Linked DNA regions of Drosophila melanogaster. The protein of the gene in region 3 interacts with the protein of the main gene of each other region in a pairwise test. Each region holds a gene or a part of one and is shown on either strand. Other genes may lie near its edges.

Region 1 (11,092 bases), on a different chromosome or scaffold from region 3:
GGTTGTTTTGGTTGTTTTGGTTGCTTCGTTTTGCAGGCCACTTTTGGTTTGGTTTAAATATTATTGTGTATTTCGTAACTATTATTTCGTTTGTTGTTTAGACTTTAAGTTTTAGAAACGTTGCGTTAACTTTGGTTGTTGGTTTCCCAATTGATTTGAAGGCAACATATTACTGCAAAAGATCTGTTTCGTTGTGTTTGGTGAAAATTAATTAAATTGCAATTTTAAACTTTGCCCAGGGAAACTTTTGAAAATGCAATTTTCCCCTTCACTCGCTCCCCCTCGCCACTCCTCGCTTTCCCACCCATCCGCAGCTGCTGCACCACCCCCACCCACCCCCTAAAATGCAATGATTCGCAACGAACAATCGTAAAATGCAAAAAAGTGCAACCGATGTGGGAGCGATAGAGAGAGAGAGGGAGGAAAACCGTGGAAAAGCCAGGTGAGGAACGGGTGGGAAAAGGGGGGCGGTTAAGTAACGGCTGAGTGACAATTGGGATGCGGTACTAAGACTGTAAAAGATCTTTGTTTGAAATAAATTTGACTCACTTTACACATATGGCATGAGCCATCAAATTAATTTTCTTAGAATAGGCGTCTCATAAAAAATTAAGAAAACTAAATATAAAAGGTTAAAGATCCAAATGTTTTTCAAAAATTATAAGTATACGTGTTTACTTATTGTGAGCTTGTGTAATAATTATAAAATTCCAAATATTTAGTAAAAAGCTCTCTACTAATTTCATAAATTCCCATCGTTGTTAAATAATCTGAACGATTTTTAACATTAAAAAGGTTTTAAGTGACACTTTTTTTTACGCCAGAAACACCTTGGTTTCCCGAACAATTTTTCGGAAATTCAAAAATGCTGGCATCCAAATTTTATAGCTTTGAACTTTTGCTTGTTAAAGCAATTATTTTCCGTTGCTTTCTCTCCGAAATTATTCGCTTTCCTATATTTTGTGTGTGTTCTTTTTTGCATTTTCTGTGCTTAATACGCGCCTTGATTTTTCCCACACCCACAACAGCAGTAAAAGCAACAACAAATAATAGAAAAAGACAGAGATAGATAGATAGGGAGGTGCGAAAGGGCAAGAAGAACATTGCATGCAGTGACTCCCTCAACAAAAATTACAACAACGCCAGCAACAATATAATAACGCGCAGCATGCAAGCTTTCACGAACAGACACGCACACACACAATCGTACATCAGCACACACACACCCGCACAGGGAACATGCACCGTTACAACGAGAGCAGAAGTTAACTGGCGGCAGCAACAAACACGTGACCCGACAATTGCAATTGCGACAATTGGCAGCACAAAATAAAACAAAATAAACGATAAACTAAAACAGAGCTAAGAGAATCGCCGACAGGGGGCGCTCGATTGATCAGTAATCGAAGTTACCGTTACCGATGTCAGCCATTTTATAAAAGTGATCACAACGAAGATCTCTAATAAAAGGAACGAAAATATTAATCAAATTTAAATTTTATGTAATACACGTGTTTGTTGATTGATTTTACACTAATTGATAAGAGATATTTTGCTTCCTATCTTAAAGCAGAATAAATGCAAATGGCAAAACAAATTTAAATATAATTTTCTTGACAAAATAAATAAACATTAGCATTAAATTCTCCTCCTTGTTCTGTTCATCCTAATGGTCACCATTTGTCATAAATACATAATTTTAATTTTCTAAGAAATCAAACAAGAAGCCTAAAGGAAAGTCTCAGGAAAAATAAAATCCAATAAATCAAACATGAAATCGCTAGGGATTCTCTGCCGCTCTCTTTCTATCGATCAAGTATGGATGTTGCCGTTATTTTGCCGGCCGGCAGCCATTTTGCAGGAAAGATCAACACAAACGCAATGTGTTAGTGAGTGTGAGTGAGAGGGAGGGCGGGGGTGCGAGGGAGAGGTTTGCGCTTTAACTCCTCTACTTCAGCGGTTATTGTAGTTGATTGCAATTAAAATCGAATGCCGCGCACTGTTACTCGTTTTCCCTATTTTTTGTATTTTGTATTTTATATTATATAATCGTCAAATTGCACTCCACACAGCCATCGAGGTAAACAAAATGCAAAATGCCCTCCACAGCAGGGGTTTTCCTTTCGGGCCTCTCGGTTATATTGGTTTGGTATCTTGTACGCGATTTGGTAGTTGTTTTGGTTAAAACGCACGCACTCCCACGAGCGGTACGAACAGCTCTGAAATCGGGCGACTCGAGAGTAATATAGAAACTGCAACGGTTAGTGCAACGCTGGCGTTCCGCTTTTCTCAGTGCGCGCACACGAACGCGACAACCAACAAGACGACACTGAGCGGCGAGACCCCAAAACCCAACTGACGGCCCCAAAACGACCGGCGGCAGCGACGTCGACTGCACTGCTGCACTCTCTGCCTTCGCTGCTGTTGCTGCTGTTGTTGTTGCCGCTGGTGCTGCCCCTACGGAGCTTTGCACCGGCAGAGGCGCCGACTGCGGCAGTTGCACTATTTACCGGCTGCACATGGCGCATGTACTTCAGCATCACAGCTGATAAGTGATAAGCCGCAGCGAGGAAGAGTAGCCGGCGAAAGTTTGCGGAGAAAGCTTACCGAAGAGAGCGGCACTCTCTTAAACCGCGTGCAGCTTTAAAAGCTCACACTGAAAAAAATTTTAACCTGGCACTATCAGTCAACTTAAGAATAAAGCTGGCTATCCCAAAGTTAAGAACAAATTTTGCATTCCAATGTTATCATAACATTTTATTGTATGAAATATACATAATGAAGCAATACATTGTATGTATTTTGCAACTTTTGCTGTTTTCGAAAACGGGTTTAAACCGTAAGGCAGTAACAACACTGATTCGATTATTTTTCGCCTTGATAACATCGTTTAATTTCGCTTTTCCACACTGACAGGTCATTTCCATTCTTTATTGCCATTTTGAAACTACGCATACGGGGAATTTAGTACAGGCTAGCACTTAATTGCTCAACACGGGAACAAGTTATCCATGTGGGTATCTTAAAATTATGCAAAAACAATAATGAACGCGTCGTGGAGAACTGTAACTCCAGAAGGTCTAGGAACTCCTTGAGCCCTGCCTTCTCGATCTGCCACATGTCGGGGTTTTCTCCGGTCCGCGTTTAGGGATTACAACAAAAACAAACAGATGTCGGCACCCTCGAACTACCACACCAAAACTCCCCATCCACATGAGCGAAGATCGTTGCCTAACTGCTCTGGGCAGTTACGGGCTTGGTGGGCGGCGATGATGGCGTGCTGCCAGCGTCCAGAGGCTCCGTTCGTTCCTTTTCCTTGTTCCAGCTCTTGAGGCCTTCGGGCAGAGTGGTGTCCTCCTCGAAGGAGCCGGTACCCTCGACGAACTCCTCGTAGGTTGACTTCTCTTTGAAGGGTCGTGGGCCCAGCAGCTCAATCATATCATCACGGCTGAGCACTTCGTTTTGGAGCAGTCTTTCCGCCACTTTTTGAACATTCTCCTTGTGCTTGGTCAGCAGACTAGTGGTGGCCTCGTGGGCACATTTGATAATCGACCTCACCTCGTTGTCGATCAGCTGCGCTGTGTCCTCCGAGTATGGTTTGCTGAAAACGGGATCACCGGCCTGGCCCACATCGAAGCTGACCTGCCCGACCTTCTCGTTCATGCCGAAACGCACCACCTGGGAGTAGGCAATATCGGTGATCTTCTTTAGATCATCCTGAGCACCAGTGGTAATGCGATTAAAGAACAGCTCTTCGGCCACACGTCCGCCGAGCGTCATGCACATGCGATCGAACAACTGCTCCTTGGACAGCAAGTAGTGATCCTTGGGCAGATACTGGGCGTAGCCCAGACCCTTGCCGCGTGGTATAATCGAGACCTTCAGCAGGGGATCTGCGTGCTCCAGGAACCAACCGGCCACCGCATGGCCAGCCTCGTGGTGTGCCACCGTTCGCTTTTCCTCCGGCGCCAGAACATTGGTCTTCTTCTCCATGCCAGCGATAACACGCTCAATGGCCTGCTCGAAGTGCTTGAGTACGATCGAATCCTTGGAGTCGCGGGCGGCAATCAAAGCAGCTTCGTTGCAAACATTCGCGATGTCAGCGCCTGTGAAGCCTGGTGTCAGTGCAGCCATTTTTCTGCTCAGCTCGTTCTTGTCCAGCGACGTTTTCAGGTTACCCAGATGCACCTTAAAGATGCTCGCCCTGCCCTTAATATCAGGTGCTGGTACATAAATCTGTCGATCGAAACGACCTGGTCGCATGAGAGCCTTGTCCAGAATATCAACACGATTAGTGGCGGCCAGTACGACCACATTCGTAGTGGTATTGAAGCCATCCATTTCCACCAGAAGCTGGTTAAGGGTATTCTCTTGCTCCGAGTGGCCACCGAAGGTCTTGCCACCACGTTTGCGACCCACAGCATCGATTTCGTCGATGAAGAGGATGCAGGGAGCATGCTTTCGGGCCATGGCGAACATGTCGCGGACACGAGAAGGTCCCACGCCCACAAACATCTCGAGGAACTCGGATCCCGACACGGTAATAAACGGTACATTCGCCTCGCCGGCGGTAGCCTTGGCCAGTAGCGTTTTACCCGTTCCGGGTGGGCCAGTTAGCATGGCACCCTTCGGTATCTTGGCGCCTAAATCAATATACTGCTGCGGGTTCTTCAGGAAGTTAACGAACTCCATGATTTCGATTTTGGCCTCCTCGCAACCGGCAACATCCCTGTAAAGAATATAAAAGGTATTAGGTATGTACTGTGAAGTCTCGCCAACTTACTTGAAACCCACACCAATCTCATTGGGATTGGTTAGCTTTGCGGTGGACTGCATGACGCCACCAAAAAGACCACCACCCTTGCGCCCACGGCCTCCACCCATCATATCGGCCGACTTCCGCATCATATAGACCAGAAAGCCTATGATGAGCAACGTGGGCAGCAGACCCGTCAGACTGGCGGCCTCCACCTCGTTGCGGTAGATTACGGGCACAAAGTTGATGGATTCCGTTCCCTGCTCCGTCTGGGCTGCCTCCAGGTTTCGCTCGAAGCTATCGACACTGCCGATGTTGAACCACAAGACGCCGCTGCCGCTGTTGCTGTTCTGCTGCAGACGCACTCTCACCCACTTCTTGTTAACCACCTCCAGCTTCTCCACGACGCCCTTCGACAGGTAGCTGTTTTTGGGAAATAGAGATAAATATAATAGTGAGAATTGCAGTCGTATCACAACAGGCGAAAGATCTAGATCCATGGAATTATGTATATATTCCACAGCTTCTAGTTTCACATGTTTTGATCGAACTCTTATGCAACACGCAATGCTAGAACTCACCTGTTGACGAACTCCTTCCACGAGATCTCCTTGTAGCCCATCTCGAAGAAGGCGAACGAACCCACCAGGACGACGGCTCCGATGGCACCCAGAAGGATCCACCGCTCCCTGTCCCCGCCGCCACCGTTCTCGCCCAGAGGTCGTCCGCCCAGCGAGTTGCCTCCTTTTCCTGCTGGCCCCCTCGAGCTGTTGCTGAACATGCCGAAGTTCCAGTCCGATTTCGCGTCTGTTTGGGATCTGCTGGGTTTAACTGAGGCGGGTGTCGATGTGCTGGGCTTCTCCGAGGCGGATTTGCTGGAACCCGCGGGTGGCTTCTTATCGCCGACGGATCCCTTCGGTTGGCCAGACGACTTGCCGCCGGCTTCGAAATACTTTTCAAATCCCTTCGGCGGCTTTTTGCACAGCAGCTGGATCTGTTTGACCACGTAGCGCAGCAGGGGCGACAGCTCCGTGGGCAGGATGTAAACCCCGGCGCCCGTGGCACCCATGTGTGTGCGTTGTCCCTGCAAAAAAAAAAGGAGGGGGCATTAAAAACTTGGCTAGCCTTGTAAGTGAGGGATGTGGGCACCTTTCCCGGCAAGGAACCCGCCGTGTAGTTGCGCCGCATCATTCCGGCCATCGTTTTGGCCGTGCCAAGCAGCCGGAACGCCATGACTACGGCGGTTTTTCGGTTCTCGCGCTAGGTTACCCAACGATCGGTCGCCCGGATTGCGTGGCCACCGCCTCCAAGCCTCTCACACTGACACAATTTTGGTACGGAAATAATGGATTTTTCGAACTGACACCGAAATTCGCCGCCACGCACACCCGGTTTCTTTTGAATTTCTCTCGGATTTCGCAAATGAAATGGTGAAATAATAAGCGTAAGAAATTTCTTATTACTAAGTGTGACCGCGTCGAAAACAATGGAAAATACCGACCGGTCTATTAATAAATACCATAGTTTGAAAACAGAAATAAATTTTTAAGTAGTGAATTTTAAATACCCTTTTTAAATATATTTTCATAAAATTGAATAAAAATAAATAAGATTTGCATATCTTACCCAAAGCTCTTATGAATGTTAATCGAATTGGGCCCGATTGCAGGAGAACAATGCTATAGACCAGAAGCAATCATGCTCTCTTCAGTTAGTGCCAAGCTGTTTAGTAAAATAGTGGAACTCTCTGAAAGGTTAAATAATACCGACATACATTTTAAATACCAACGGTCACGTTTTTTTTAATGAATATTATAGCACTTTATGGATAAGTCATTTTGGTATGTAAAAACGTAAGGAACGTTTAGTGCAGACGCGAACCTTGGTTTAGAAACAAACTTAAAAAGATCGTTCCAAAGGAAATTAATTACTGAAGTTCAAAAGTACTTTTTTTACTCAATTACGTAACGGGATCGACTTTTTATTCCACTTATTTTTGTTAAATGTAATGTGTAGATAGGAAAAACAAGAAAATCCCGTTAGTTTTTCATGTTATCCTTCTTTATTTACATTCTTGAGCAAATTTACAACTTTTAGGCTGTTCATAAGAATAGTAGTGTCTGGTTTTGCCCAATGTAAAAGTAATGAAATGATCAAATATTTTTTAAAAAGTGTATTTGTTTAAGTTAATTCGTACATTTAAAAGGGCAATAAATTTAAAAAAAAATTAAAAAATTACATTTTAGTGGGTAGAGAACAGTACTGCTTCCAAAAGAAAATAATGTTAATTCTTAAGCTAAGAAAGGAAGGAAAATCATATAAGGACATTAAAAAAACCCTTAAGTGTTCTGCCCGAGTATCCGATGCCATTAAATATGAATGGAAGCCTGAAAAACGTAGTGCCATACATAAACCACAGATATATCAATTCTCCAAAATTTGCCAGGACCTGGTGGACTCCATGCCGCGTAGGTGAAATGCAGTGCTGGCTAACAAAGGCAATCCAACCCGGGCACTGCTATTTTTATGAACACAGTTGTATGTGCCAGTATTGACGACCGTTGGGTGTGGATGGCTCCGTGTTGAATGAGGATCCAAAGATGCATTTCTTTCTAAACAATATTGACGATGCTGCACTAGGTGCGAAAGGTCCGTCATGAGAAGGCTCACTATACCGACACAGTGTATAACCAAAGACAAACATCAAAGAGCAAATTGCATAATTTTCTCAAAAGTATAATAAAAAAATAAATGTAAACCGAGCGCAGTAGGTGTTTTACATACAAATTTCCAGCTAGCACGCAACATTTGTTGCCTGTCTACATAGAATTTTTATACAACTCTTTAGTACATATCTTTTTACGCATATATTCACAAATCCGTGGCCAGTCGAATGGAGGAGGCTCAAGTGGATAAACGAATTCGATTGCAGGACTTGCCGGCTGAGGTGCTGCATATGGTCATGGGCCATTTGGACCTATATCACCACAAGTTGCTGCGGGAAACTTCGGAGGAACTGAAGCAAATCAGCACGGCGTACATATTGCATCATCACAAGGCCTACGAGGTGGCCCATTCGGAAGGAACCTCGGAGAAGGAGCAGAGTAGCGCGAAAAGGATCATGCTGCAGGTGGGCTAGTTCAACAACATCAATAGATGATCCAACCGCCTTTCGCAGGTCCTGCGCACGACAATTAGCTACTTTTCCGACGAAGACAGTGAATCCGACGTAGCCATCAGTCTGCTGCACTTCCACTCTAAGGAGGCTGTTTTTTATAACGAAGCTGACCATCTGGGCAAGTTCCTTGCCCATTTCCTGTTCCTCAATGAGCGAACGTTCAACGTATTCAGTGCTGAGAGACTGAAGCTTAAGCGCCTCCATTACACAATGGCAATTTTCGGCCTATTGCGAGTGAGTTAAGTCCTTTGCTCCTTGAGTCTACCGTGTTGTGAGCTGTGCACATATCTCTGCAGCAATTTCGAAATTTTAGAATCCTGGGATTCGGTAAGACCATTTGGCACTGGAACGTGGAGGTCGAATTGAGCAACACATTCATCGGTGTCATTGGAGAGGCAAAGGCCAGCTTCAATACTGTGGAGTCCCAACGACGCATCTACTTCATTTCCATTCTGGCCGAGCTGCTCTTCCACGAGAAGAGCAATCAGAACTATGGGTAATAGTCGTATTTAATGCATATCTATGTTCGCAGATTAATCAAATCATATATTTCTTTCAGTGGACAGAGGGGCTTGGAAGGCACTTTGTACACCTACAGTATTCAGCCAAATTCAAAAGCCAAGCGCACTCCTCGAATGTTTATAAAGTTTATAGTGGAAGGTCCGCAGTTTCTAATTGATTACCTGAAGGACCTAATTAGCGGAGACGAAGATCCTCACAATTCGTTCGACTTGCCACCAGGAACGGACTTTGCCATTCGAGTTGAGACCAGGTGCTTTAAAGGACCCAAATTTGTATATTTGGGAAATCTGAACTTTAATGTGTTGAGATGGAGCGAACTAGTCGATTGAAGATGTATGTGGACGAAAATGCTAAACAAATTAACGATCATGTAACATTTAATTTGAATACAAGATATTTGACGTTTTATATACAAAAAATGCATTTTTATTTTTGATTGCTCATGTAAACTACTGATAAGATTGAAAACCTAACAAGAGAGCAAAGATATATTGGTGTTACATATAAAGATAACATAAGCATCCACCAATCTACCATTCTATAAATGCTGTCTAATCCGATTTTAGATAGATTATCGCATTTCCTTTTGTGCTCTTTTGAAGTCTCGATAAAATTCAACAAGTAACATACATAGCTTAAACTGAATATTTCCTTTGTTTATTTGCCCAGTTTCTTATTTAATAGTTATTAGTTCATGTGTGGCGATTATACAACTGTGTTCATAAAAATAGCAGTGCTTGGGACCTGCGAGTTTAAGATAAAAATTCCTATGATTTACAGTTTTAATGGGCAAATTTTTTTAATAATATCATTTCAAAAAATTCAACAAATACATCACTTTTTCTTTAATAGTTTCAAAAATATAGATTAAAACAACATAAAAGGCAGTAATTCTAGAGTTCACTGATATAGCAGTGGTACGAACAAATAGTAACAAAATTCAACTTGATCTAGAACTAACTTAGTTTTTCCTTTAAATACATTAATTAGGGTCTAATACTTGGTTGGATTTCCTTTGTTAGCCAGCACTGCCTTTCACCTACGCGGCATGGAGTCCACCAGGTCCTGGCAAATTTTGGAGAATTGCTATATCTCTGGATTTATGTATGGCACTACGGCTTCCGAGCTTCCATTCATATTTAATGGCTTACCATTTGGGCAAAACATTCAAGGGTTTTTTGAATGTCCTATATGTTTTTCCTTCCTTTCTTAGCTTAAGAATTAATATTTTTTTCCCCTGGAAGCAGTGCTGTCCTCTTCCCACTAAAATTAATTAATTAATTAATTTAATTTTTTTTAATTTATTGCCCTTTTAAATATAGGAATTACCTTAAGCAAACAGACTTTTTAAAAAATATTTGATCATTTCGTGATTTTTACATTTAAGAATAGCATACACTGCTTGTTTCCCTCGCACTGCTATTTCATTGCAGGGAAAGCACTTTCCATTTATCCGGTCCCACTATTTCTCTCTCTCTCTCTCTCCACGTAATGTGGAATGCTCGGTCTTGCAACGCGATCGATCATTCGTTCCCGTGAACTTGAAACCGAACGACGTGCTTTGTCCTCCGCAATTAAATTAAAAGTGCAAGATGATGACATTCGCGAATAGCAACAAATTGATAATTGCAGTGAACGCTTTCATCGTTCTAGCCGTTATAATATTGCTATTAATATACCATCAAATGAACTAAGAAGTAAGTAAAGTTAAGTAAGAAACTCATGCTTTTGTGGCATCCAAATTCGAGTTTGTTACAATACATTGTTTTATCTACCCCGTTGCACAATATATACAATGATTTTTACCCAATTCACTGTTAAACTTGACACGACAATAGATCAAGTTACAAGTAAAATGATTGACGAACGATCGTGTTTATGATTTCTCAACCATAGGTGTTTTTCCTCTTATAAAAACCAGCGTTGAAAAGTAAAAACAAGGTTTGCTAAAAAATGGGTAGTTTGAAGCGTTTCCGACCGTATAAGGTACATATATATTATATTCTATATTTTTGTTCAGATTGAATAGCCGAGTTGATCTTTCCATTTCCGTCAGCTCCAAATGAATAACTAAACTATATTATATTATATAAATTATATTATGCTTAAAAGCGAAGATTTTGCAGATAAATACACATCTGATTGATTTTTAAGTCTCGATCTGTCCTCGATTTCGAAGTGTCAGCGAAGTTGTGTAAGGAATGTGTCGGCCTTTTAAGCGATAATTAAAATGCATCAATTTATTGCCGTACGATGTTCGAACAATAATAACCATTTAATAAATACTCTCAATCAATGGCCCGCGCGCCCCTCTCCATCCCAGATAATGAAAAGAATTGCGGGCGCAAAATATTTGCTTAATTAAAGTAATTATGGTTTCATATTTCATGCGCCGCGAACGAACCTGTAGCTGTTGCTGTCCACGCCTCCTTCTGGCCGGTAATTACGTTTTGTCATAAATTTAATATTTATTTTAAAATGTCATTAAGTACTTAACGTCCCTGTCCCTGCCCCAATTTTCCCCTCGTCCTCCGCCACAATTTTCGAACGCCGCCATTATTACAAAAAAAAAAAAAAAAAGAAAATGAAATAATGCCCGCGAATCTTATTTTACAATTTTCGTGGGTGTTATTTCA
Region 2 (10,443 bases), on a different chromosome or scaffold from region 3:
CATGCGAGACTCAACCTCGCGAATTATCTCGGGTGGAATCACTATCGGTTGTGGTCGGATTAGGTAGTGGGGATTTTTAAGCAGCGAGATCGGGAGCGGTAGCGGTTGTAGTTGTTGTTGTTGTTGTTGTTGTGCAGTAGCGGGCAATGCAAAATTATCAATTGCAATAAACCAAAAATGTTTACATAAAAAGAAAGTTTAAAAAGGCAAACCATCAAATTAATACAGTAATCAAATTATAATTAAATACATGTGTACAAAATGAACATGTGAGCACATATCTTATATAAACACTTAATAATACACTATATCTCTGATTTAAGGCTATATATAGAGCAGCATGCAGTTTAAATTTTTAAGCCAAATTTAAATTATAATCTTAATTTTCCTATTAAAATGGCATCCTATATTCCACATATTCAGAATGATTCGATATTGCATATTTTATAATATTTTAGTTAGCCTCTCTAACGCACCTGGCGGTCTCTCGGTGACCGTGAGCAATCCTGTTCGCCGCTGCCGCATATTGGAGGAGGTAGTTGGCGCCTGGGACTGTGATCCTGCTCCTGATCCATGTGCTACGGATAGATCCTCCGTGCAGCCCACCGTATGGCGCTGGGTGCCTCCACGCTTTTGCATATAGCTACAAAGAATTGAATGTTATCATGTTCCTAAGAAGGAAATATAGATTCAAGTCAACCTTTGCAGCTCCTCGTTGCATTCGCCGGTGGCATTCTCCTGGCAGCATTGCATCTGCGCCACCGACTGTTCGTTGAGCGGCGACAGCTCCTGCACTGCCAAAGGATCTGTGCCGCAATTCGGATTGATATAGTACCCGGCCGTGTCCATTTGCTGACCCTGAGCTGGACCCACAACGGTGCCCGTGGCGGGATAGTAGATGTGAAGATTTGCCCCGCCGTCTGAGGCACGACGCCCAAATGAGCCTAGAAAAATAGATGCCACATTAATGTTGTAAATGAACACTTCTGTCATATTGGCAAATACTCACTGGCTCCCATAACAACGGGCGGCTTGAGCAAATGCTGATCCTTGATGGTGAGGTTGTGCAGGGGTTGGTTCTGCAGCATGGGCAGATTAACTGGATAGTAGGGAACTGGCTGAGTGGGATCGCTGCACTGCGGTGGACACTTGAAGTCGATGGGCGGCACATTGGGATTAGCCAGCGCCTGCTCGTGGGCCACATCGCCGGGTCCCACTGTATGGCGTCTGGTATTCGCACCATTGACACCTCCACCAGCGTGTGCACTCAAATGCTGCGCATTAACAGGGGGCTGAAAAAAATAATCCACGTTGTTATCGAAAGTTTCAAGAGAATCATTTAATGCTCACATCATTTGATCGCGCCAGGCATTCCAGCTCAAAATCACCATATTTCTCCAGATCCACGGCGACATCGGACCAGCCAAAGCCCAAAGCTGAGCTGGAGGCATTGGCATTGCTCAACGGACTGAGTCGGTCCAGAGATTCCTGCTTGACGGGCTCCGAGCGATCCACCACGCCCGTCGTGATGCTCGTCTTACGTGATCGGGAGTAGGCTAGGCTGGCGTGGTGCTGCAGTCTTTGGTTTTCGCGTCGCCTTTGCTGCAGCTTGTCATGCAGCAGGTTGTAAATGGCGTAGATGTTGTCGAATCTCTGCTCGTGCACCGACTGTGCTATCATGTCGGCGGTCAGTCCGGGCAATTGGAGCATATGCGTCATTACCACAGAGTCCAGTTGCGGCGGTGAATCCGACGCACTTCCCAGCGAGGATGTGGACGCCGATTTGGACACTGTTCCCGAGCCGGGGGACATGTCACCGAAACGTTCCTGCTCCTGCATCTCTGACTGCCACTCGCTGAGCCAGCGGTGCTTGATGATTTGTTTGATAGTGTATCGCCGATCAGGCTCCACCACCAGCATGTTCCGTATTAGCTGCTCGCATTCTGTGTAACATAAGTTTTGGTTTAAGATATGTTCTTTCATACTACCATTTAGAGCTCACCTTGCGACATAAAGAAGGGAATGCGAAATTTGCCCAACACCACGCGACTTTTCAGTTCCAGGATAGTCTTTCCATCGAAAGGTAATGCTCCACAAACCAAGGCGTACAGCACAACGCCCAAACTCCAGATATCCGACTTGGGTCCATCGTATTCCAAGCCTTGGAAAACCTCTGGAGCGGCATAGGGCGGTGATCCACACCAAGTTTTTAAGGTGGCACCCTCTTCATAGTGATTACTAAAGCCAAAGTCGGCAAGCTGAAAGGCAAAGAAAGAAACTCAATTCAAAATTCTACTAGAATGGTAATTATATTATCATACCTTGATGTTCATGTCCTTGTCGAGAAGGACATTCTCGGCCTTGAGATCGCGATGCACCACCCCGCGCCGGTGGCAGTAGTGAACGGCCGAGACGAGTTGGGTGAAGACACGTGCCGCCTCCGGCTCCTTCATCCTGCCATTGGCCACCAGATGGTCGAAGATCTCCCCGTTTGGCGCGTACTCGGTGACCAGATAGATCATCGACTGCGACTCCATCACCTCGTACAATCGCGTGATGTGTGGATGCCGCAGCGATTTAAGGATCGCTATCTCGCGGAACGTCTTGTTCAGGTACTCCTCGTTCAGACATGTTTTGTCTATGATCTTGATGGCCACCTGCAAAATATGTCGCGAGAAAACAGGAACAAGATTTTAGCCAAAAAATACATATCATTCTTCGACCGACTGTTTGTCGCCTTGCTGGTTTGTTTGGCCCAGGTGAACGAACGTTTGCGGTGGAGCAAGTAAATGGGGAGAAATGTGATTTCAAAAGCGTACGAGCATCAGAGAAAGAGACCCCAAAAATCAAGATGTGTGGGTTGCACACACAAAACCAACAAAAAAGTGTCTCGCATGGCTAACACAACAGTGGTAAGAGAAAAACTTTGTTACTATGGTATAAAAAAGCCAAAAGGAAGATGGTCTAAAATGAGGGGCAAGGTCAACCATCTTATGTCCCTTTTGATAAATACATAATTGCTATTTCGACAGATTATGGTTAATATTTTTGAGAAAAATGTATTAAATTTGTATTCTCACAACCAAAGTTGGGTACTTTTGCTATTATTTAACCCTTTTAAGTGGCTTTTTCTTATAGTGTCAGACCACTGTAGGTATTTCTGTTACCAGGCGTCTTTGTGGGTGGCTTGGTGGCGCACAGTCTGCAGTGTCAGCATAAACGGTGGCTACACACAATGACAGCGCCATACATGGTGCGCGTGTTCGGATCTCGGGATCTCTACGGATATGTGAGTATGAGATATGGATGGATGGATGGATGATGAGTGCGGAGCGGCGGCGATGGCGGCAGACAAGACAAAAACATTCTTTGCTCACGACTTTCTGTTCGCAGACGACGACGACGAAATTGCCGTTGCCGTGGCCGACTGTTTATTTGCTTTTGTGTATTCGCGAAACATTTTAAAAATTTATCACAATGTTAAATAATTAACAACACAAGTGAGCGCACACTCACTCAGTCGCGCCGTCTCTTTCTCCTCAGCTGTTGCTCTCTCGCTCGACGACAATGAGCTAAAGCATCATCATCGCCACCGGTTTCTTTAAACTTTTTTTTTTTTTGCTTTTTTGTTATTGTTTGCTCAACATTTAAGCGAATTCCTGCTGCTTCCTGAGTACTTATTTCTTTAATATATTCAGCATTTTATGAAAATTTGTCAAAATATAAAAAAAAAGAGAAGCAGGGAATCTTTTCAATCAATTCAAACACACTTTTGTGAAAATTCCACCGCGAGAGAGTAGAACTTGAACTTGAGACAATGCAATGCAATGCAAACTATTTGTTTATAATAAAGACAAAGAGCGCTCTCGCTGCCGGGCAATGCGGCGTATGCGTAATGTCTGTTGAGCGAATTAGACGATGGCCGGCGAAATCGAGATGAGTGTCATACTTTTACATAATTGCATGAAACAAATGCTGATTCTGCACTGATATTACGTCCTATAAATCGCCAATGCCACGTGAGCCGGTTTTGAACTTCAGCCAACAACGGGAAACAAGGAAAAACCAAAGGCTTGGGGGGGGGGGGGGTAGGGCTGAAAAAAAAGTATGGAAAAAACAGAAATGCCATTGCCACGTGCCGTTTGACCTTTCCCCATTGGTCGCCCGGCGAATGCGATGAACCTCAAGCTCGGCGCTCGCAAATGAGACATTTCAAAATAATCGCAACCAGAAATACACCAACAACAAGTATAGCAGTCGTGGCAGAAAATACCAGTGTCGCCTCCGTTTGGGAATCCTTCAGCCGAAGGCGAAAAAAGTCGCATCAAAAGGTCCTATTGATTTAAAAGGCAAGCAGCTCAAGGCAAGGTCTAAAATGTTGTTGATTACGAGTGTCGCCCATTAAATAAGGGCCCTGAAACAATGTCAAGAATTTCAGCAATATTTGTCTGCAAATCGCAATGCATGGCCATCGAGAAAAGCATTTGCTCCGTAATACTTTTTCAAAACTAATGGTATTTGCATTTAAATTGGATTGGATAATACTTTGTAGGTATATCTACTTTTGAAACTATTCCACTTGATTTAAAGATATTTCTTTATTGTTTTGCAAGCCTATTCAAGTTATAGAACAAATACAAATTTTTGGGATATTATCTATGTGAAAAAGTGAAAAAAAAACTAATCCAAAAGTTGCTGTATATTAATCTACATGCTACCTTTCCACAACAGCTTATTTTCAATTTCCATTTTAGCGTACTGCTCCCTCAGTTCTTCGAGTTCCTTTGAGTTCCTAGCAGCCAAGCGATACAATTGGGCATTTAGGCCAACGATTCTTTCCCTTAGAGCATTCACTGTATATTGGCTAAGACGTTCTGGCCGAAAGACATCCTCCTTAACGGTGGCCACAAAATGCCACATATCCTGAAGCTCTCCACGCTTTTCGCTGCTATATAGCTTAAGTTTTTCATGGAGCACAAGTTTCTCCTGTTCGATTTCGTTGATCAGACCTATTAGATCTGCCGTGGAGGAACTGTTGGGTCGTGGATTTCGACCAGTTTCCGGCTCTTGGCAAGACTCGGTCTTTGAATCTGTGCCCTCATCATCTTTGAGTATGAAATTATTGGGATTCAGCTTGACTTGATTGCATTCGAGATATTTTTGCTGCGCCTTCAGGCGCGTCAATTCACACAGAATGGCGGTAGGTGTTAGTTTTGCCGCCCTGATCTTGGGCGGAATTTTAACTTGATTCCGTTTACGAGCGGGTTTTTCCGGCGGTTGAGCCCTTGGAGCCGTTGGCTTTTGTTCATCGTCTTTTGGATTTTCCATTGGGGCTTCGGTAGCATGTGATTGTTGCACAACATCCAAGGAGAGAGTCGTTGCAACTTCTGCAGCGCTCGTTTGGTTGTTCTTATTTACACGCGGTAATCAAACGTGTTGCCAGCACACCCAACCACCCACCCACTCCTTCCACGTGTTTAATCGATATGCAACCTTTCCACCCCCCTCGATTTTTCCGGCTGCTGTGCCAACAATTCTATGCTTCTGCCGGGGGTCAGTAAACTTTATTTGGCTTGGCTGGATTTTACAATTTTCCAAACGGCAGCGGTAACTTTCAGTGGAAATGGAAAATCGATTAGTACAATTACTGTTTCCATGTCATGGCCTACTTAATTGCCCATGGAAATGGGACAAACGGGGTCGTGGCTTGAAGACCACTTTCGTGGCTAACTAATTTCTAATCAGTACTTGTGGGAGACCGGGAAAATCCACCTGCTAGCCAAAAACTCAAGTGACGATCAAATGTTTGGCGAGCTAATCAAGTTTCAATGGACTAACAAAAGTATAAAGTAAAAGTAGGAAATACAACAGTGAGCCTTGCTTTAGTGGAACTAATATATTAAATCACAATCTACAATCAATGAAATCAAAGCTAAGAAGGTTTATATATTATGCAAAAATGTTCGTTATATTTAAGATTCACTGTTAACTAACGAAATTCGTTTATATTTAAATTGCCTTTTTTTTTTATGTACGGCTAAAATTGCTGGAATTACAAAAGTGCTTGGTATGGAAGTTTGACTGTTTGTGCGGATGAAATGTTGATTTATTATTTGTTTTGCTATCGCCTGCAAAGTCAAATCGGGCAGCATTAACTTGGCGCGTGCTGTTTGTCTTCTGTCTCCCTCCCACCCACCAGCCACAACCCACTTGCGCCCACACCACCCACTCCGCTGTGCGACAGAGACAGAGAGCGAACGCACGTGACTGATTTGCGAATTTACTTTTCTTGCGATGACAAAACATCGTGGATGAAAAATCAGCAGAAGAAGCAACTCCACTGATAGCATTTGTGCTTATCATTGGAATGTATGTATGTATGCGTATTTTTTTTTTTTGCTGCAGATAGCATAGTTTTGTTAGTATCAAAAGCATACAAATATGAACGTGGAAATGCAAAGGAAAGGCAAAAGGTCGACCTTAGATTTAGTGCGCATAATTTTTTGGGTTTTGTAAACACACACACACACAGTAGAAATATGATAAAAACCGCAGACACACGAATGGTGAGCTGCAAAAAGCCGCGAAATTGTTAATAAAAAGGTAAATAAAAATTGTTAAACGATTTCAGCCACCCATCTCGCTCGCTCATCATCTCCGTCCCGCTTGCACTCGCTTCTTTTCGGTCTGACGCGTGTTAGATGTTCAAACATGTTTTCGGTCTGCTGGCCAAAAGGCAACGCTCAGACGGCAGCTTAAATATTTGCCCATAGCGAAAGATCAATCAACAAATGTGAGCGAGACGGTGTGAATTGACCAGAAAGAGACGGGTAGAGCATAGGGCTGCACAGAGAGAAATAATATCGACATATAAATAATGAAATGTATAGTAGCATACAGTTTAAACAGTTTAAAAACTCACATTTGCAATGCGGTTTTTCATCTTAACTTGGAATGAAATTTAAAAAATATTTTATTTAAGTTCCCCTGCTTTTCTCTATGTAAAAACAAACACGAGTGGTATATAGAGTGTCTACGCTGCATGGCTGGTGCTTAATTGCATCAATTGGAGCATTAAAACAGTTGCCAAGGCAACTACAGAAAAATTCAATTAAACTAAAACTTGCCAATTGAGTGCAAACACATTCCGCACACAAAGAAAGTAAACTGAAATTCAATTTGAAAAACGGCACATGAAAGCGATCAAGAGAGCGTAGAACTCTAAACAAAGAAAGAAATCAATTAATACTATTTATATTGGCTAAGAAATGATAAAACTGTTTATTTCAGAGTCATTTCCCCCGCAGATTTTCACTAGAGGAAATCATGTAAGCTAGGCTATGATTTGCTTTTACGATACGCTGATCAAAGTACGTATCGCACACTTTCTTATCGATGGGTTCTGCAGTTCCTTCGGTTTAAACAAATAATCATAATTCGAATGTGTGTGTGTGTACCCACAGTTGTGTGTACAAGTGAACTTTTGCCATTTTTCCATTGATAATAGTGAATTATTGGCAAAATGCGCTTAGGAGCGATAAGCCATGGGCTCTAAGGCCATACACCATACGTAAATAAATTCATTTGTATTCAGATCCTAACGTACTCATGTTTTACCAACGCACAGATATAGCTATACTATATAGAATGAGTACACATATTGAGTGGACATGGCAGAAATAAGATAAGTGGCCACCATTGGACCTTGAAGTTGTCGAACAGCTGTGCGCTCTTATCAGGGGTAACAAAATTTCGTTACAGTCAACAAACAATTCGCCAGATCGAGGGAAGCTGATTCGATTTGTTTATCTATCTGCTTTGATGTGCCACACTGACCGACTGTTTCGAGAAATATGGCATACTATAGTCGCACTGAGCGATAATTTGACATTCAAAGTTATATATACCATTAGTGAGTACCACAATTGTTAGTTTTGGCCCACTAAATGTCACAGCATTAATCATTCAATCAGACTATAACGATCGATTTCGCCAGAGGCACGTGCTCATCACAAATTCCTCAACGCTGTCAATTATGCAAAAATTGATTGTTTGCTCTATAAATTTGCATGCTCTTTTGTGTTCGCTTCTGTTTTCATTGCCTGTAGTAGGTACATTTCACTTGACAATCCCAATTAACAAGTGTCACAGCTGTTCCCGTTGTGTTAGCACTTCGTCGGATGATTCCACCCGCAATGGATGCTAAAGATTTAAAAAAAATATAAGATGCAGGTGAGTCAATCGCTTAGATGCGACAGGTAAGGAAAGACGCTTAATTGTTATTTAGCCGGCTCATCAACTTCGGTTGACTTTATATAGCAGGAAATTCTCGGTGGGAAAAGACGATAACAAATGCATGTATCATCGACAAAAAAAAAAACAAAAGAGACAAAATCAAATTACTTCCTCATAAGGAACTGCCACACTCACATGGCAGTAAGGTAATAAACAACACTCACACTTTTGAGACGCTTTACAAATGCGATTCAATTAGCATCTACCGATTTCCACCTCCGGATTCACATTCCCCCCCGCCACCCTTTTTTCAAGCCATTGTCAATTGAAGGCAAACAAAAAGCCAAGCAACCGAAACAGAATCAGTAAGACCGAGATGCCGAAAACGAAACGAAACTCCTGATTGTCAATAAGTTGTGTAAATAATTATTGTACACATATTTACGCGGCAATAAACAAAATCATCAAAGAGCAACAACAACTAAAATCAATTCGATCAGCTCAAATGCGCAAAAAGCGCGTATGAATATGCTCAGATTTAAAAAGGCATTCAATTTACATGTGCCATAGAAGCGTTAGATAGATACAAATACTAAGACTTATAATCAAAAATCTTTGTTAATTAATAAAATTATTGTGGAGCAGGAACCAGAAATAACAAGAATTTTACACAAATTGTTTCGACAATTCGGAGATTTTCCTAAAGTATCTAAACCCCAGCAATTTGTATCAGTACGTGTATCTATTGATTCGAAGTAGAACTTAAAGATCTTTCACCCATACAGATCATAACCAATCTTTAAGCCGATGTCAGTTGCCAAGATTAGTCAGTTAATCAGTTGAGGTATTTGCATGGAAACTCACCTTTGTCTTGGTCACAATGTTGGTAGCCAGCTTGACCACTGCAAAGTTGCCCTTGCCGATGGTCTTCTCCAGCTCATAGTAGCCGACCCGGAGGAGCTTGTCCACGGATATCTTGCTGGTCGATGGCACCTTGTAGTTCTGCGGCGTTGAGGACGTTGGAGGAGCTGCTGCTGGCCCAGCCGTTGGTGTGGTGGCCATCGTCGCAGCTGCGTCGGTGTATTCCCTTTTTCTCTTTTTGCCGTAGGAGGATGAGGATTCTTGCGGATGCGTAATTGGCTTTTCGCGCACAGGAAATTCACTTAATATGCATTTTCTTTTGTCGCGCAGTTCAAACGCGAACGCGAGAGTTCATTTGCTGGCGGCGAGACTAACAAACCGGAGAATGGTGAACCGGAGAATTGAGAATGGAGAACGGAGAATTGGGATGACGGGATGCGGGAAACTGGTTGGGGATCCGGGAGTTTGGAGACGGGGGAGCCGCCGCCAGCAACAGTGGATTGTGTGAGTTGTGTAGAGTTTGCGCGGACTCTAAAATATTCACTTAACTCGATTAAGAGGTCAATGGCAGCTTCTCGTTCGGACTTTCCAGCGGATTCTCGGCGGGCAGTGGGCCATGCCCACCAGGCAACTCCAATGCTCACTTTGTTCTTTAGTTTTTTTTTTTTTATTTATTGAAGCGACACTTCCTCGAACGTTTTATTTGTTCTCAATATATGTATATATATTTTTTTGGTTTACGACGCCTTCAAGTCTCGATTTAATGGCTCTTTGTTCGAACGCAAATTACTTTTCACATTTCGATTTTGCACTTTTTGTCACCGTCTTGAGGGAAGAGAGGGAAAATTATTAAATAAGTATTTCACTTTGTCTAGTTTTTGACCTTGGGGTTTTCATTTCTATTTTTCTTTATCGCGGGTGGGCGTGGCGCATGTGTGCGTGTGGTTTAATGAGCAAAACAAACACCAAAGATAGCAAAAAGAGAAAAAGAAATAAACTAATGAAAACAGAGAGCAGTAGTGTTATCTATTCGAGCAGAAATCTCAAAGAAAACAAAAGGCACATGAATATTTTTCCAGCCATAACCGCTTTTTGTACTTTGATTTCTAAGCGCTGGCAATGTTTTTATTTCATTTTATTTTATTATTTTAGCTTTCAAAAAAACTTGGTGATAACATTTTTGGTTCAGCGTATGTTCATAAAAAACGGAACTTTTGAAGTAAACTAGTTAAAAAATTTTGTTATGCTTAAAAAGTACATTATCTCAGAATTTTTTTTCAGAATACTTTCAAGATATTTTTCCAAATACGAAAAAGTAGATATTTTACTCAATGAACATATTTTTAT
Region 3 (11,092 bases):
GACCCACGTCATGGCTGCTGGCAAGAATCCTGCCGTAGATTAGCAGGCGAAGCAGGTGAGTTTAATCCATAAAATGTGCGATTATTGCGTTTATGCGGCCCGGGGCGCATTCGATATAAAATATAAACAAACGTTAGAGAAATTACAGCACAAAAGCCGAGCAAGGAGCAGCTCTCAGCTCGGCTCTCTCGCAGGATGTCCTCATGTGTACCACACACATGGCTGGTATCCCTTGAATCATTCCGCACCCTCCACTCTGCCCCTTTTGCTACTCGGAGGACCGACGCTTATTTGACTATCGATTAAAGTTTGTGGTCCTTGTGCACACAGCCCCGAGAGGCGAGTGCTCGAAATAATACCGGAGAAAAGATTTTCGATTAATTTTAAATGTGCCAGTCAGTAGCAGCAGCCATAAGATGGCCAGACCAGGCCAGGCAGCCGAGAAGTCCAATGTATAGAGAGTTGGGAAAATACTTAAAAGTTGTTACCAGTATCAAATCTTTTAGCAGCCCTCCTCCTCTCTTCAATCACTTTCGAAAAAAGCCAACCGAATTTCAGTGCGCATTGTTGCGCGGCCTCATAACAGAAGATTATCCAATAGCAACCGGTCGCATCCTCATCCTCATCCGCATCCTCATCCGCATCCGCATCCAAGGGCCATCCGCCATGTCACCCTCGGCTGGGGATAATGAACTTTTTTGGCCAGCCGAGCGTGCCGTTGGGTTTTTGAGTCTGCGGCCTGTCCGCCCGTTGCCGCATCCACATCCACATCCACATCCCCATCTCCATACACAGCCACCTCAGCCTCAATTAGCTTATTGTCCTTGTCATTGTCAGCTGGAAAATGGCATCCGAGCAGGGGCGGTGTGGAGGACGGGGTGGCCACTGGATGTCTCTGGGTGGCCCTTGGCCTCGCAAAATCCACAAGGAGCTCGCCAAGGTGTTAAGCCAGCTGAGCCGGGTGCCCCCAGCATCGAATCCTTACCTCTGTCGGGCCTTTCGCCGCTCCATTCCCCTCAAGCCTCTGGCTTAATTCCAGCCAGCTTTTCTGGCCAAACCGGACGAGTCTTAATCAAGCGAGATGCCCTCATGTGATCTGGATCTCGCCGTGTAATGAGAATAGCATATCTATTGTAGTACTTTAGAACTAACTGACAATTTCATTAAATTTCACCATATTTATCATCTCTGCTGTGAGCTTTTCACTTAATGGAGCGTAGGAGTTGTTCGTTGAGGATGCTTAGGATCAGGAGCTACAGAAATCCTCGTTAATAGGAGTAAATGGAAATTACAGCCAACCAGTGGGCAGGTCAGGGAGGAGCGTGGAGCGGTCTTTGGTAATTGTTAAAAAGCAAAGCAAATGTTATTGCCGAACAAACAGCACTGGAAGCCGAAATCCATTCAAATCGCACAACTAGCTTGCCTCTAATCCGAGCCACAAATAAGGCGTGTGCAGAGGGTAGGGGACGTGGCAGGGGCGTAGGGGGGGGGGGTTCCTTTGTTTGGCACACACATGCGGAATCCATAGAAGCTATGGCTGAGCCTGGCCAGAAAAGGTACCCGTGCTCGTAGTCAAGGACCCGTTCCGTTCCGTTTCGTTTCGATTCGATTCGAATGTTTCGAAATTCACAAATGTACACTACGAAAAATATTCTTTTTCAACAATTCTCGTTGTTTTCAAATGTTATAAACTTACAGGTTCTCTTTATGTAAACCACTTTGCTATTTATCAAGACACATTTCCAGGACTAAAGTAATACAACTTCAGATAAACTAGTATTTAGTACTAAAATTTTTGTAAGTTAACCATCCAAATATTTGTAGTCAAGTGTGGCGACCTTGTTGGGTCTTGAACTTAGACATTAACATTGACTAGAAAACAAGAATATAACTAGAGCAGGTTTCGCACTTCAGTTTACCGCTGAGAAACTGAGAATTCGCCTAAGTTGGATTCACATGACATCGCCAGTGATGACACCACCGCCCACTGGGCCGCCCTCATGCTGGTGATGATGCAGTTGCTCCACGAGATCAGCGATTCCTTCCACGCCTATGCTCAAAGAGGGCAGCGACTTGTCCAGCACCAAAAGAGAGGGAGGCGACTTGGGCTCACCCTCTTCCATGCCAAAGGAGGACATGCCAATCCCGTCCAGGCACAGTTCATTGGATGATCCGACCAGCTGGGAGTGACCGCCGTAGGCCTGCATCTGGGACTGCTCCATGCTCAGAATGCAGTCCGCCTTGAAGCTGTCGATCGTGAACTGGTCCACGTCCACGCTGAGAAACTTCATCTCGTCGTAGGCGGAGGAGCCATCGGTCATGTCCAAACTCAATGAGGCGGCAAACTCAAGCCCCGGATGAAGCTGGGGATTGTGCTGCTCCTGCTGGTGCTGCTGCTGCTGCTGCTGGTGATGACTCGAACTCCCGGCGTGAATCGGATCGGATGCATGCTGTTGAGGCGGGTGCTGCTGGAGCTGATTGTCGGAGTCCATCTGCGGGTGTGTCTGCGCTTGCGTTTGCGGAGGATATGTGGACCACTCCATGGAGAGGCCACTGCCACCCCGCTCCAGTCCCAAGTGGTCAATGTTGAGGTTGAGAAATATATTCGGTGACAGCCTAGAGGGCGACATGGCCCCCGTGCCGTAGGAGGCCTTAAGTTCGTTATCAAGGGAGTTCGAGGATTGCGGTGGGGTGTCCGGCAATAGAGTTCCACCGCCGCCTGAAATCAATATGGGTCATTACTAGCGATGGGTTGATAGGTAACAGAGATATCCTTTCTTACCCAGCGCACTATCCAGTTGGCCCAGGACGGCGCTGTCGTCGTAGGACACGTCGAGATCCAACGCACCCTCCTTATAATCTCCGCCAAGCCCACCGATCTTCTCCTGCTTGCGCCACTTGGCCCGCCGGTTCTGGAACCACACCTGCACCCTCGCCTCCGTCAAATCGATCCTCACGGCCAGCTCCTCTCGGAAAAACACGTCCGGATAGTGTGTCCGCTGGAACGCCCTTTCCAGCTCCTGCAGTTGCAGTGTGTTAAATGTGGTTCTGCGGATCATTAGGAAAACTAGTGTTAGTGCACCTATAGCTTTAGTAGATACTTATGAAACTAGTCCAGTTTTTGGATTTATACCGCGATATATGTACATTTCGAATGTATCTGCTATACCTGTATCTCCGCTGCTTGCGCTTCATTGTGCCTTTGTCCATGCGAATCCTGAGCTTCCTGTTGGTGAACGTTGACGTTGGCGGAGTGGGTGGCGAGTAGTGGCCACTGAGGTGTGGATCCCGCTCAATCTCAATATCTCCCTCAGCGAGGATGGGGCTCTTCAAGCGCGTCGTGACATAGTCGCCGTGTGTTTTTCTATTTTTTAACGATTTTCGTCGACACTTCGAGGGCTTCGCGTCGCTGCTTCTTCTCGCTTTTCCGCTTCGACAAATTCCACGGCGGAAAAACTGCACAACAACAACGGCGAAAGCACGGATGAAGTCTTTGGAGACAGGCAGCTGCGGAGCTCAGCATAAGTCGCCCACCAGCGGAATCTGCATCTCCTCCGCTCCTGGTTTTTTATTCTGATTCCGATTCCAAGTCCCGACTTCCCTTGCTCGAACCTATGTAGCTGCTGATGGCTAAGCGATGTCAGATTGTCCAGCTGTGCATGTCCAACCTTGTGGCACGGGCACTGTTCTTGCCTCGACGACGCGAATTCGACTGAGGAGGATTTTGGATTTCCACGGGGAACAGTGACAGTGCGTGCTGTCCGTCGACAGAAGCCGTAGAAGTCGACCACAGTCCACTGGCACTCGCACACTCGCGGGCTCCCTACGAACAGGGGTATATACTATGTGCCTAAGAGGTCTGACCCGGTCTAGCCTCTTGGACAGTCGTTCTAGCCGGGCTTGTTATGCCAGTGGCGGTGCTCCTCACCCAAACTGGCCCAAGTGGGAGACATAGTGAGCTCATAATTTATGGCAACTCATGGTGCCTTCGGAGGATGTGCATAGCTGGAAAATGTTTAAGAATTCTACATAAGACTATAAACCACTATTTTTACCATTCATCTGCCTTTGCACATTATAAAAACAATATTCTTTAAACAAGACCATGAAACGGAAATGTCATCCATTTGGGGGAAATCCGACAAGTAAAATACAATCGGAATTGCATTTCCCACAGCTCCTCACTCAAAAGTATGCTATGGAAAAAGTTTCGGAGCCGTTTCGGAAACCAAAAATCCAGAAACCCACCCTGGTCAACGTTATCGATGGGAGGAGATCGGATTGCCCTTTGCCTCTGCACACATGTCTGGGTCAGTGGGCTTCTTTTGGCTACTCCCACCGCCCAAAGTTCTCCACCTCTGCCGGCACTTGAGGCCTTAAAGCCATTTCCCCCATTGAAGCATTGAAAGCAGCAGAGGAGTATAAATAGCCGAGGGACTCAACCCCATCAGCCGGGCCACTTGAGCTTGGCATGGCTTGCCATTGTTGTGGTGTCAACTGTGGAGTCCATTGTTCCATCCTGTCCAGGTGACGAACCGTAATGGATGCTGCTGCTCTCATCTCTGGCACAAAAGGTAATCCGAGAGGCGGCTTTTGTCCTAAATGGATATAAAAGTATGGCGACTCCTTGGCCAGAGCTGCAGAAGGAGTACAGCGCTGGTCAGGCACAGATCGAGCATGATGCCGTGGGTAAGTTTCATCTGGATGAGAGCCGAAAGATATAGAAACGAAATTACAAAGGAGGGCGCACAAGGATATACTCCGAACTGAATTCATTTTAAAACCCTTCCGTTCCAAGTTGCCCATTTCCATTATGGCAATGGCGCTGCTTAGCCTGACAAATAAAGGAATCGCCAGTCAGTACGCCAGCGATGAAGGTTTGGACGAGATGGTGGGTCTAAGGAGTCTGGAACACCGCGCGGAGGAGCAGCAGCCCGATCGCAGTACATCGAAAATGCTCAGTGCCCTATTCGGATTCAGTCCCAGCACTCCACATCCCACAGAGATGGCGATGGTCATGCCCCATCAGCTGCCGCCCATGTACTATAACGATTTCTATGAGGATCTGGTGACCACCAAACGCAATGATGTCCATTCCGCAGGCTGCGACTGCAAAGTTACGGTTCGTTGGGATACCATTCAGCCGCGTCAGATGTTTATAATTATTTTGTTATTCCCAGAATGAGCTCGTGGATCTGGGTGGTCTGCACTTCCCTCGCTTTCTGATGAATGCCGTTTGCGAATCGGGCGCTGGTCGGGATCTGGCCAAGTGCTCGCATGGATCCAATTGCAGGCCACTGGAATATAAGGTAAAGGTCCTGGCACAGACCTCTCAGTCCGATCACCCCTATTCGTGGATGAACAAGGATCAACCTTGGCAGTTCAAAACGGTCACCGTAACTGCCGGCTGCTTCTGCACAAAGTGATTGAAAGGATGTGAGCAACTATCGTGAATGTGAATTAATTGTATATTAAAGCGCCAAAAAGACGTCAAAGTTGCTTTATTGTGGGAGAGATTCGATATGAAACAGATTGTTATTTTTAAGGCATTCTTTTGATTCTTATATGTAGCTTAATGTTCATGTTTGAGCTTTCTCTTAGATAATTTGTCTAGGATATGTCGTGGATGCAATTCGTATTCATCAGCAAAATTCGAAATAAAGCAATAATCAAAATAGCTCTTGTTGTCATTGATGCACGAGTATAAAAACTGTCCCATAAACGTAAAAAATCTAAAAAACTTGAATCCAGAGAAACAATTTTGTTACAAATAAAATGTAAAGTATTAGAAAAGAAACTTCGCTTCGCAAGGCATCAGGATAGTAAATGGCATTACTTCCCAACTGAGTCAAGGCACTTTGACGGTGTAGTTTTAAATGGAGTGTGGAATCTACTTAGCTTATGGACGGCTTCGTTTAAATAATACAAAAAGCGAAATGTGCTTGGTATAGCAAAGGCTCTTGAGGCTAAGAGCGTGGAATGAGCCAAGATCCAAGTCCTAATAGTGCGGTGAGCAGGGTTAAACAGACACCATAGCCTTGTCTTGAAGGAGCGCCACTCTGTAACAATTCCGATTAGTTGGTAGTCCCAGTTAAATGTACTATCTACCCACAATGACAAAGTAGTTGCACCGATCTCCCTTGCAGCACTCGTTGCACGCCCAATCCTCGTACCAGATGTGGGTGCAGTACAGCTGCATATAGCGCTTCCTCTTGGACTGGCACTGCTCCTTGGTCATGCACCTCTTGGACACGTAGTATTGCTTAAGAGCACCCTCCGAGAAGTACGGCTGGGATCCCCAGCGGATCTCCGTTCCGCAGACGTTTTCAAAGGGCTCGCAGGTCTTGATGGTGTTCAGGCACTTCTCCGTGTTGCCCGTCTGGTTGGAGCAGACATAGCACTCCAGACCGGCCACGAAATTTACTAAAAATATGTTATTTATTCGAGAGGTTCTAAATATTTTAAAGGTGTGGCCCAAAGTCGGGCTTCAAAAATGAAACTTACCTTGCGAACACAAGTAAACAGCGGCGACTAGCACCACAGCTATCTCCCACGATTTCATCGTATATCTGGAGTAATTAACGCAATCGGAGCCGATAAGCTCAAAGTAAATAAACAAGTCAAATTAACAAACAAAACCACTCCCAAAAAAACATTAGCAACAAATTAGAAGAACGCGCGTTCTGCAACACCAACTTCAAGGCGCTTTGCAGCACTAAACATGGCCAAGTGCTGCCACCTGTGGCGCTTGCTTATTAATAACTTTTAAGTGGATAAATAATTGAGAGACACGTTGTTTGAAATATTTATAAACCAAAAAGAATTAATAATAATTTTTTTAACGTACCTAGCTAATAGTTCATTGTCGCCTTGAAATGATTGCATCTTGCTAACATGTTCCCGCCAAAAAGGCCAGACCCTGGCGGGTAGCCAGCCGGTTAGTCATCACTGGTTCAGAGCGGTAAGTGCGCGCTACGTTTTCTGTGCGACATTTGCAAAGGCAATCCGATTGCCGCCTTCAGAGGTGCTGCTCCTGGACCAGACTACTGGACTACTACCGCGCCGTCATGGCCAAGAGTGATCAGGAGCTTCCCGAGGGATTTCGCCAGCTAAAGACACAGGTTGCGGGTCACACATTCGAGGAAAGCAACGCGGAGGCAGTGGGTCTTCTGCAGGACTCGAAGGCGGGATGCGTACTGAAGCCTCTGGGGAAGCCGGAGTGCGGCGAACGGGAGCTGCGCTTCTATGAGTCACTCGCAGAGGCAGGTGCTTCAGGTGATAATGACCTCCTGGCGCTGCTCCGCGGTCACGTCCCCCGGTTTTACGGCCCCCTAAAACTGGTTGTGAATCGGCGCGAGCGCACGTTCCTGCGCCTGGAAGACCTCACGCGATCGTACGCAAAGCCGTGCGTCATGGACGTGAAGATGGGTAAACGAACTTGGGATCCAGAGTCCTCGCCCAACAAACGAAAGGTTGAGGAGGCCAAGTACGTTATGTGCAAGCAAAAGCTGGGCCTTTGCTTGCCGGGATTCCAAGTGTACCTTCCCAAGGAGGAGCACACTCAGGAGACCACAATCCTGCGCCACGGGAAGGACTACGGGAAGAGCTTGAATGTGGAGGGATTCAAGCAAACTATGGCCCTGTTTTTCAATGCCAGCACAAGTGATTCCAAGAGCAGGAGAGCGGGCTGTGAGTTGCTTTTGAAGGAAGTACTCCGCCAGCTGCAGGAGATCCTAGCGTGGTTTCAACGGCAGCGCCTGCTGCATTTCTATGCCAGTTCTTTGCTCATCTGCTACGACTATTCAAGACTGGCTGATCCCCCAAAGCCGTTGATAAACGGCTACCACCAAAATGATGATGACCCCGCCACTTGGGTGCGGGTCAAAATGATCGACTTTGCTCATGTTTACCCGGCAGAACAGGGCTTGCCGGACGAGAACTACATGTTCGGTCTCCAGAGCCTGATAGAAGTCGTCCAATCAATACTCCACCGATGATGATCAAAGCGGACCAAGACCACTCAAAGATGTAGTAGAAGTTCCAATCTCATTGCAATGAGACACTTTTGTATTATCGTCTAAGCCAAATGATTAGTCCACAGTAGATACCCATCCGTTTAAGGAACACGGGCGGAGCTACTCTAAACGTAGAATAAAACCAGATTTTTTAGAAATTGTGTATGTACTTCAAATCGAATTTGTGAATGGGAATGAGAGGTGCGAGATGGGACTATGATGATGACTCATTGCGAGGCAATTATTTCCCATGAAATGATTCCACGGATATGAGAAATGGATGCGCATTGGCATGATTCGTCTTTCTGTAATATTACTTCATATACAAACAAACAATAAATCTATCTTATCTGTTTAAAGATAATAGAAGTCGTCATGCGATTACGATTAGAGATTATTCATGTAATAATTGAAGATCCAATGATTTTCTGTATTTTACGGCAGGAAAGATCAATTAAGAACAAATGGTTTGAATAGTTTGGATTTATATATTGGTATCTTAGAGAATCCTACCACTAGCAGATAAGCTATTACAATTTATAGCGTGTAGTCCAACTCGTACCGCTCGTACTGGTTCTTGGGATCATTAGTAATCCGCGGATAGCCGGCGATCAGAGCGTCCTGACCTCCAATGTACAGCGAATTGTAGATCTTCCAGTAAACGTCTCTCACTTTGCGAGCGGGGTGGAAAAGTCCCTGTAGCGTATATTGCAGGATCTTAATGGGTCCCAGGGACACCCTTAAACCGTCCACGGAATCCATGAAGGCTTGCACGAGATGGGGGGACGTCTCAAAAATGTTGGGCCACACGTAGTTGAGAAGATGGGTCAAAGCATCCTCGCAGCCGAAACCATACACTCCCAGTGACATATGCTTGATGGCAGAGCAGGCGGTTTGCCGGTGGACTAGATCTCGGTCCATGAGGGCATCTTCCAGAAGTGGACAGACGGCGTATATGTAATCCTTGCCCATTTCTCCGATGTATTCAAACAGGAAAGAGAGTGACTTCAACACACCATTCTGAACGTTGAGCTCGGGCACTCGGTACTCGTTCATCAGAGCAGGGAGCACGGTAAAAGGTCGACAAGACTCGGCCACGATGGCAATGGCCACTGTGGTGCACACGCGGTTCTGACGCTCCTGAACCTTGAGATTATTCAGTAGTGTAGCAAGCACGTCGTGGGGACCAATGGCTTTGGCAATGTAGCCAAAGGTGTTCACAGTGGCTCTCCTAATCGCCTTCTTGTGGGCCTTGAGCAACTCCAGTAGCTCAAAACAAATTCGCATCCACTCGCGAGCGGACACATACTCAGGTCCGCGATCTGCAATTCGTCCCACCAGGTCAATGCAGTTCTCTTGCACCTTCTCGTGACGATTCTTTAGGATGGGTGTAAGACGAGGCAGCAAATCCTTGATAGGAGGTGTCATCTTGGTCATTCCAATCACGTTTACGATGGCCTTCAGGGCACCCAGGATGCTACCCAACACTTCGGGATACTCCTCACCCAAGTACTCGTAAAGCACAACGCCCAAGTGTCCCATCAGCTTCTCCTCCTGGCACGTTTTCATCACTACCGCTATTCTCGAGATCAGATCCGCCGCCTGCTGACGAACTTTCGCGGATTTGTTGTTCAACCGCCATAGAATCGTTCCACAAATCTGGGGCAAATAGGGCTTAACTCGCTTGCCCAGCTGATTCACGATGGTGCCGAATCCATTCAACATCACCACATCCTCAGTGGTCTGCTCTTGGAAGGCATAGAGAATACCATCGATAAGCTGCTCCTCCAAGCGCGAATCGATATCTGCTGCTCCTAGGTTGCCCATGATCTTCTCCACTGTTTCCATCACCATCTTCCTGTACTGCTCGTTCTCATCCTTCAGGTCATCCACCACACGATTGATAATCTCAGAGGCGCCCACCTTGTTGGCAATCTCCACGGTGGTGTCCACCAGCTGGCGGTAGTTACGCCTGTCCAGGGCCATGCGGTGATTCCAGAAGAACTTGAAAAAGTGCGGAAGAATCTCCTCTTTGATGTACTGCGGTTCCACACCATCGGTGGCGCAACATTGCTTCACCACCTTTAGTACAATCTTTTTCATTTCCTCATCTGGAGACTGGAACTCGCGGATAAGAATCAACATCACTTCACGCGTATAGTAATTAGCGTACTCGGCGTCCATCAGGGGAATCAAATAGCCAATAGCCTTGAGGAAGGCGGCCAGACCTTTGCCGCGATGCGTGCGAATACCCTTCCAAAGCGGCTTTAGCACGGAATCGAAGGATTCAATGCCGTACGGAGTGGCTGCCTCTGCCAAGGCAGCAATGGCCAAGGCTGTAATTGTGCGTACCTTCTGCTGCTCGTCCACTAGTCCGTGCTCGATAATCTCCACGAGAGCTTTAAGATGCGGCAATATAGCACATCCCATCAGGATGGCAATTTGCTGGACAATTTTGATGCCAGTGTGCCGCGCTTGCCAGGATTTCTTCGACTTGCAAACGGCTTTTAGGAAGGGCAGTAAAGAGGGAATTCCCAAAGCTGAAGCGACCACGGCAAAGGCACGCGCTGTGGTGTTTCGTACATACTCGTCGATGTTGTCAATGTCCGGTCTCATAGTAGAGATCATGGTGGCCAAACCAGCGGCCTTGGCCAGGTTGGATATGATTTCTCTGCCTTCTATGCGAGCGTAGTGATCTTCATCAATCAGCAGCGGTTCTATGACCACCAAAATCTTGTGCACATAGGGCCGCACCAAATCGTCCAGTTTGTATAAAACACGATCAATTACCTTCACTAATAAATGACGCTCTTGGTCCTCCAATGTGGGCGACATAAGCAACGGAAGAATCTGGTTAAACAAAGGTCCTGCTCCGAATTCCCTTGCTTTGTCCGTAATCTGCCTCAAGGCCGACTTTCTCATTGGTGGCGAGCCGTTCTTGATGGTCAGCAGTAGCTTCATTATCTTGCGCTCCTTGAGTTCCTCAGGCGACAGAGAGTCTTCGTTCACGTCTACAAGTAGCTTGTCAAAATATTGCGCATCCTCTGGTTTCATGAAGGGGAGATTTTGCCCCTTTG

What was found.
Region 1: the proteins of Ipk2 (region 3) and Afg3l2 interact in a two-hybrid assay, tested with the Drosophila melanogaster proteins (one large-scale study listed by BioGRID).
Region 2: the proteins of Ipk2 (region 3) and CG15071 interact in a two-hybrid assay, tested with the Drosophila melanogaster proteins (one large-scale study listed by BioGRID).

What each region holds. Positions count from the first base shown.
Region 1 is NT_037436.4:17,235,880-17,246,971, forward strand, and holds Afg3l2 (AFG3 like matrix AAA peptidase subunit 2), read right to left. Parts: upstream 6,250-11,092; 5' UTR 5,990-6,249; coding exon 5,906-5,989; intron 5,841-5,905; coding exon 5,338-5,840; intron 5,180-5,337; coding exon 4,784-5,179; intron 4,730-4,783; coding exon 3,232-4,729; 3' UTR 2,868-3,231; downstream 1-2,867. Other genes in the region: CG7707 (uncharacterized protein), read left to right, coding at 7,650-7,886, 7,935-8,168, 8,231-8,430, 8,494-8,785.
Region 2 is NT_033778.4:18,691,519-18,701,961, reverse strand, and holds CG15071 (uncharacterized protein), read right to left. Parts: upstream 5,378-10,443; 5' UTR 5,329-5,377; coding exon 4,708-5,328; 3' UTR 4,617-4,707; downstream 1-4,616. Other genes in the region: Sik3 (Salt-inducible kinase 3), read right to left, coding at 1-41, 477-643, 701-944, 1,010-1,292, 1,351-1,943, 2,003-2,258, 2,322-2,657, 9,100-9,297.
Region 3 is NT_033779.5:570,111-581,202, reverse strand, and holds Ipk2 (inositol phosphate kinase 2), read left to right. Parts: upstream 1-6,938; 5' UTR 6,939-7,067; coding exon 7,068-7,997; 3' UTR 7,998-8,170; downstream 8,171-11,092. Other genes in the region: Pph13 (PvuII-PstI homology 13), read right to left, coding at 1,953-2,719, 2,783-3,048, 3,170-3,210; Ptth (prothoracicotropic hormone), read left to right, coding at 4,603-4,689, 4,799-5,122, 5,181-5,426; cold (coiled), read right to left, coding at 5,967-6,059, 6,113-6,423, 6,505-6,562; Sf3b1 (splicing factor 3b subunit 1), read right to left, coding at 8,553-11,092.